Linked DNA regions of Kluyveromyces lactis. The protein of the gene in region 1 binds, or shares a complex with, the protein of each later gene. Links are inferred from orthologs where the notes say so. Each region holds a gene or a part of one and is shown in the gene's direction. Other genes may lie near its edges.

What was found.
Region 2: MRPL16 (region 1) and MRPL15 share a complex: the UniProt entries of both Saccharomyces cerevisiae proteins name them as parts of the mitochondrial large ribosomal subunit. The link is inferred for Kluyveromyces lactis from reciprocal best matches to the Saccharomyces cerevisiae genes MRPL16 and MRPL15.
Region 3: MRPL16 (region 1) and MRPL20 share a complex: the UniProt entries of both Saccharomyces cerevisiae proteins name them as parts of the mitochondrial large ribosomal subunit. The link is inferred for Kluyveromyces lactis from reciprocal best matches to the Saccharomyces cerevisiae genes MRPL16 and MRPL20.

The regions. Positions count from the first base shown.
Region 1 is NC_006038.1:1,064,702-1,067,183, forward strand, and holds MRPL16 (mitochondrial 54S ribosomal protein uL16m), read left to right. Parts: upstream 1-1,289; coding exon 1,290-1,955; downstream 1,956-2,482. Other genes in the region: MSF1 (phenylalanine--tRNA ligase), read right to left, coding at 1-920; RFC5 (replication factor C subunit 5), read right to left, coding at 2,107-2,482. UniProt on the Saccharomyces cerevisiae protein: Component of the mitochondrial ribosome (mitoribosome), a dedicated translation machinery responsible for the synthesis of mitochondrial genome-encoded proteins, including at least some of the essential transmembrane subunits of the mitochondrial respiratory chain.
Region 2 is NC_006039.1:1,527,962-1,530,374, reverse strand, and holds MRPL15 (mitochondrial 54S ribosomal protein mL57), read left to right. Parts: upstream 1-1,079; coding exon 1,080-1,805; downstream 1,806-2,413. Other genes in the region: RNA-dependent ATPase ROK1, read right to left, coding at 1-434; KLLA0_C17380g (uncharacterized protein), read right to left, coding at 2,300-2,413. UniProt on the Saccharomyces cerevisiae protein: Component of the mitochondrial ribosome (mitoribosome), a dedicated translation machinery responsible for the synthesis of mitochondrial genome-encoded proteins, including at least some of the essential transmembrane subunits of the mitochondrial respiratory chain.
Region 3 is NC_006037.1:691,680-693,764, forward strand, and holds MRPL20 (mitochondrial 54S ribosomal protein mL58), read left to right. Parts: upstream 1-926; coding exon 927-1,520; downstream 1,521-2,085. Other genes in the region: DEAH-box RNA helicase PRP16, read right to left, coding at 1-371; KLLA0_A07777g (uncharacterized protein), read right to left, coding at 1,744-2,085. UniProt on the Saccharomyces cerevisiae protein: Component of the mitochondrial ribosome (mitoribosome), a dedicated translation machinery responsible for the synthesis of mitochondrial genome-encoded proteins, including at least some of the essential transmembrane subunits of the mitochondrial respiratory chain.

The DNA.
Region 1 (2,482 bases):
ACGTCTTCACGGATAAGACCGCAACCGCAGAGCTCAAGCCAATTGTTTTGCCAGAACACTTCAATTTCCCATGATGGTGCAGTCCATGGGAAATAAGCTTGAATCCATCTAACCTTCAACTCTTCTCCCTTCACGTTACCCATACTTGCCAACTTTCTCTTGAAGACTTCCAATACAACAAGCTCCAAAGATCTTTTCAAATGGCGAGAACATAAATCGACTTCTTCCATCGTCATGTATTCCTGCTTTGGATTACCTTCCAAGGAAACGTTATCTTCCACGACAAGTTTCACTGGGTCGTCTGCCAAAGTTTTCTCCAATCTCTCGAGATCTTCTTTAATCTTTAATAAATGTTGGTTATCCGGTTCCCTTTTCCAAACTCTACCACCTTCCATTTGATGGAACACCGGATAATGAGTCCTGTCAATCTCATCTCTTCTATAGACATCGGCAGAGATTAAAAATCCAGGCTTATCAGTCTTACCCACATGGCCAGGAACAAACCCATTGATATTCTTGAAACATTCCAACTCATGGGCAGATGTATGCGTTCTTAACAGATGACAATCGTTCAAGTAATAGGTATCAGATTTCGATCTACCGGGGTGATCTTCTGGGAATCCCAAAGAATCAAAATTCTCATGTACCGTAACCGCAGGTTTGAAATCGTTATAGATCTCGAATGAGTGATGAGGGTCGTTCAGCTTGTCCTCGATAACACTTCTTAAGATCCCAACAGGGTGTGATGGTTTCAAATAAACAGCGCGATCAGTCAAATTCAAAATCGAACTAGTTACATTCGTCTTATCTGATACTGGGTACGTCTTTCCATTCACAGAAAGTGTCTGTAATGCCACATTGGAGGTGCTAAACAACCTTAAACATGGTCTCAAAGTTGACAATATCGTCCTATTCGACATCGTTTCGGTATTAAAGAACCCTTAATAACAGTAAAACTGGGGCAATTCAATCAACAAAACAAAGGTAATCCCTTAGCAATGATATTACTAGTGATATTTCACTGCCTGAAATCACCAGAACAGGTATATCAAGTGTTGTTTAACGAGACTTTTGTATCTTCTTTTGAATGTATGTAGAAGGTCACATGATTTCAAGATATCTTCAACTTCACCAAAAATTTTTCAATAATGAAAAGCTTTAAGAGTAAGTAAAAGAAGATCCAGAGCATAGAAATTGATTTGAAAAGCAGCATAAAACAGTCCCTCGCGCCTCATTGCAAGGATCTTATTTCAGATCAGTGAGCCTCCTTTATCGTAAATTAGATCACCATGTTTTCCAGCGTTTTCAAGACTGGATTTCGCTCACTAAATCCATTAGAAAGTCTGCAAGTAACCGCTAGGCGTTTTACACATGAATATGCTCCACGTTTCAAGAACCAGACTAAGAAGCAAAAGGGTCGTGTGCCAGTGCGTACCGGTGGCTCTACTAAGGGTAATTCGCTTCAATTTGGTCAATTTGGTTTAAGATTGAAGTCTGAAGGTGTGAGACTTACTGCGTTACAGTTGAAGGAAGCCGATAATGCTATTATGAGATACGTTAGACCTTTGAATAACGGTCAATTATGGCGTCGTTTGTGTACAAACATTGCTGTTTGTATCAAGGGTAATGAGACCAGAATGGGTAAAGGTAAGGGTGGATTTGACCATTGGATGGTCAGAGTACCCACCGGTAAAGTGATCTTTGAGATGGCAGGTGACAATCTACACGAGAAAGTAGCACGTGAGGCGTTTAGAAAGGCAGCAACCAAGCTTCCTGGCCTATACGAATTCATATCGAAAGATTCTCTGGTAAGAGTAGGTATCAAGAGTGTAAAAGATCCAAAGGACGATCCAAAGATCAATTACTTTGAAGAACTAAAGAAGAAACCTACAAAGGAATATATTACAAAGTTGAAGTCCCAGCAACCGGAATATAGAATGTTCAGGGCTCGTTGAAATAGATCGATGTGTGTATATAAACGACTCTTTTACGTATAACTTTTGTGAGAGCTAATCCCACTATCTGTAAATAGGCTATCAAAGATTCAAGATTTAAAGTCCCAAATGAGTAAAGTTTGGTTGTTTGTCAAACTACAAAAGTTAATACTTACGTATATTTATCTATTTCACACATTGTCCTTGCAATGAACCCTTCTAAATGGTAGATTGCTTTGTTTCCAAGGTTGAGACGGTGATCAAAAGTGCATGCAGTATCGATAATTGCCAACTTCAACGGATCTGACTGGGCATCTGAAAGCAATTGCGTCGTTAATTCATGGACTATGGTTTTGGCAGGAATACAATGGGCTAATAGATCATAATTTATGGAACGGCATTCTACAAGGTTATTAACAGTTCTTTCTTTTAATATTTTCCTAGCCATTTTATGGATCACCAATTGCCAATCAGGTCTGTTCAAAGGTGTATCGTTTCTTAAATGCAATTCATTTTGTAGTGAGGTAGATTCTAGTGCTAAGAGTGAC
Region 2 (2,413 bases), on another chromosome or scaffold:
AACAATCTCTTATCGAATTGGAACCTTGTGATCAAGTCTTCAAAAGAACCGATGGGCAAAGGAACACTATTCCCTGAAACATTCCCTTGATAAGATTTACGTAACTTTAACGCATCTTGTTTCGTGATAATTTTCCCGGATAACTCAGTCTCGTCATCAGCATGATCTTCGTCTTCTTCTTGATTATCTTCTTGTACTTCGTCTTCACCTTCACCTTTGGTTGACTCAGACTTTACCTTATTCATGATTTTCTTATTACGGAAAAAATCCAACTCCTTAGTCAATTGTTGTTCATCTCTAGCTGGTGTACTTGAGCTGCCAGCTGTCTTACTCTTCTTTTCATTAGCCATGCTAAAGTCTGCAGACTGTGTTCTATTAGAATCACCATTCTTCCTTATGCTAGCTCCACGAGTCAAGACTCTAAAGATATCCATGTTAATTAGCGGTGCTAGTATTGGCCTGTGAGAAGTTACTTAGTAATGAGAATAAATTCGATAGTAAACCACTGTGAGTGATATAATCAATCTCTTACTACTCTCTCATCTCATCTCATCTCATCTCATCGCCTACATCTAATTGCAGTTTTTTCAATTAAAATTGATCTTACTGAAGCGTTTCTTTTCACAAAACTTAGGGTACAATAAGTGTAAAAATCGATATAAAAGTACTTCTCAAGGCATAAAGATGCAGCAAAGCTTACTTTAAGATACAGCTGGTATTAAGCCCTCATAATACCAGCCCATAATGACCATATTCCCTTGATAACAGTACCTAATGCCTTGATATTGCATGTATTCCCATCATACAAGATAGCACTTAGACACAGCGATGACCTCGTTTGGAGTGATCTGAAAAATTTTGAAAAATTTCAAAATTTGGATCGCTGCCTCGAGTCGAAAAACTACAAAGAAACAGTTTGAATCGTAGTTAAAAGGACTAAACTGTTAGAATTAAGATTCAATAATTCTAATATTTGTGTCCTGTGTAATTACAATCTGTTGATATTCGGTCGAGGAAGATTGAATTGTGAAAATACCAGACAGAAACCATTCAGACAGTATTTTTTTACTTCTGGAATAATGTCCTTAACCAAAATTGGTCTTAACTTAAGCACAAAATTCGGCGTGCGTAATGGTTCTTATCTACACGTTGGGACTAGGGTACGTGGTTTGAAAAGAGACCCAGTTGAGTCTTTGAAGAATCCACACGGTTTGCACTATGATTCTCTTGTCAAGGATGGCCATGTATCTACTGTTAAGCAAGGTTTGAATTTGGAAAAATATGGTATTGACTTGCCAGACGACATCATTACACAATGTTTGACTCACAAGTCGTTTGCCCAAGGTATTAAACCATACAATCAGAAATTGTCTATTATCGGTGGTCATTTTGTGAAATATCAAGCTTGTCTTCATTCCTTGGGTCTACCTGTTTCTGAAAGGCAACTATCACAAAGCGTACAGTCTGAACCTGTTATTAACGGACTAAATTTCGGTATGCTTGGGAAGGGAAGTTCTAAAATGTTAATATCCAAACAGAGTACGGCTGAATTTTTGCAAAGGAGAAACCTAGATAAATTAGTGTTTTGGAACAAACGAGACACTCAAAAAAGTCACAAATATAACGGTGAGTATACCGTGCTACAAACTGTGCTAAATTCTGTGGTCGGCAGTGTCTATCTATTGCACGGTCAAGACAAGGCCACCGAATACGTGTTGCATGAACTATTCAGCGACAATAGTGATTCCCTAACGAAGATATCTGAAAGTTTGTTAGCAAACAGGGATACGACCGAGAAGTTATAATATTATGTCTAATTTTACACGACAGGAAAGAAAGAGAAATGGAATACACAATAGACTTCGACATCAATAAAAAGCACTCGAGTGAATGGTCTCCATCGGAGTTGGGAAAGAGCTTTCAAAACTTGTATATATATATTTCGAAACGGAAGTTTCAATCACAGCTCTTGGTCAATGTGGTGTTTTAATCTACTCTTTCATCCCTGCTCAATTTCAACGTTTTATTATAATGAATTTACCAAAAGCATGAAAAGCATAACCTTTTAACGACACTCCATCGTCACACTTCAATTAAAAATGAACCTCGAAAGAAACGCGCGCACTGTATATATCTCATGTATCTCTAGAAATATAGACGTACATAAATTTACAACTAAATCTATCATTAATTAAATGTTAACATACAAAATAAAAACAGATTAAGAAAAGTACATAATACAATACATGTATATAAATACATATATAACTTCATAGAAGGGATGTTTTTTGCTGGTAATTTACTTGGAAAGCTTAGCATTTAAATACTCAATGTTGGTCTTAAGACTAGCTTCTTCCACAGTCTTTACCAATTCTTTGGTACACTTTGCTACATCAAATGCAATACCAGCTAA
Region 3 (2,085 bases), on another chromosome or scaffold:
TTCGTAATACGTTTCAAAGTCAAAGGCTTGTTGAATTTTGGTTTCACTTGTACCTTCACAGTAGAAAGCTCATCTTCATCGTCGTCTTCCTTGTCATCCAACGGAAGTTTAACCACAAATTTTTTCCTTATGGTTCTTGCTGGAACAGCCGCTGATTCTGGCTTTGGAGACTGCTTATGTGCCTGTAATTTTTCAAAAAGTTGCTTCAAAAACTCATCTTTGCCCTTAAATTTCCCCAAAGCCTTAGCACCCCCGATGAACTTGTTTACATCCTTATGAATACGTGCAATCTGCCTTAAAGTCTCAACAAACTTCTCTGTCACTCTTGATTCCGTATTCTGTTGAATCCATTCTTGAAGTTCTGCATTCATCTAATTCTGTTGCTTGGTAAACCTACCACCTGGCGTAAAACCTGATGAGACAGAGCTGCTAATGAAGTATCACAAGGACTGTTTATGCCATTATTCTTGTCCCATCTCATAGCCTTTCAGCTCTTCCTGTTGTGAATAGGAACGACATTTGATGTTGATGTTGGGATTACCCGGCTTTCACGTGACAAAAGATACAGAATAGTCCAAATTGGCACTTCTAAAAGCTGCATAATATCGCCAATATAAGCCCTATTTTAACAGGTCAGCTCACACTCATTCATAGTACTAATCGATATTATATAGAAGCATCTTCAGGTAGGTATATCCACTAGAATAATCCTATATTTCTCGAAATAAACTGTTTTCCCATACTAATCCTGTCTGTCTCATCAGGATTTCTATCTGAAAAATTTGAAAGCATCAAACTGAAAGATTTAGAGTCTGCAGTGCGAAACATGGTGATTGATAGTTTAAATAACAAGTTTTAGACCCTTACACCAGGCTTATAATCCCCAATTACGCTGTAGAAATTACATTTGACATATTCGCTACAGTATGGTGAGACTATTTTCGACCAGCGCCCGTGCGGCCAAGGATCTTTCAAAGATAATTGATAAATCAGGTAAGTTACCTAAGATCGTTGGACCAGCTACCATTTACAATCCAAAATCATCTGCCTCCAATTACAAAGGTTATTTGAAAGCCAAGATTCCAGCAGGTCTATATTACGATCCAGCTCCATCCTCTATCCATGGTTCTACTAACTCAGAAACGATTCCAAAATCTTTCTTACCGGCCACTGATCCAAGGCACGACATTATAGATGACCTAACGCAAGGTAACGCAGAGATATCGAGGGTAGCGCCAGTGTTACATGAGAAGGGTGAGAAGACCTACCATTTGAAGCCTGAAGACATCGCTGAGATTAGAAGACTAAGACTGGAGGACCCGGTGAAAAACTCTAGAAAAGCTTTAGCAAAGAAGTTCAACTGTTCTCCGTTGTTCATCTCTATTGTTTCTGAACCACCCAAGGAAAGAAAGACAGAAATGAATCAAGTTCTTGAGACGATAAAGAGCCAATGGCATCCTAAGAGAGCATTGGCCAGAGCCGAAAGAAAAAAGAGAAAGGAACTCTGGTACAGAGCATGAGAAAAGGTAAAAGAAAACAACATACTGTATATCTGTAAATAGTAATAAGATAACCATCGACCTTATGTTTCAATCGTTAGTCATCAACTCTATTAAATGGCTTATAACATCTATATATATGCATGTAATATAATACAATGGAAGACGTGCAAAAATTAGTGTCTATCTCAATAAGTTACAGCTGGGGTCATTATCGTTAGGAAAAAATGATACATTAGTACCACTAATACCCATCGTACATCTCTTGGAAAATTTCGTACTCATCTCGGATTCTCAGGATTATATCTTCGAATAACTGCATCTGATACGCATCTTTTATTTGTAGTTCCAATGCAATCTGATGCCTATGCTGTCCCTCGCACAACATTGCTATCTGATACCATTTCTCCCTCCGCTGCAATACCGTATGCAGCTCCTTCAGATTCGATATCACCTGCGTCTCACAGAACAACCTCTCGTCGCTGTTTATATCCTCTTTATCAACTCCGTCCTCTTTATCCGAAACGAATCGAAACCTGTACAGCGACGGTTGCATCATCGTCGACTGATTGGACCCATCCAAATG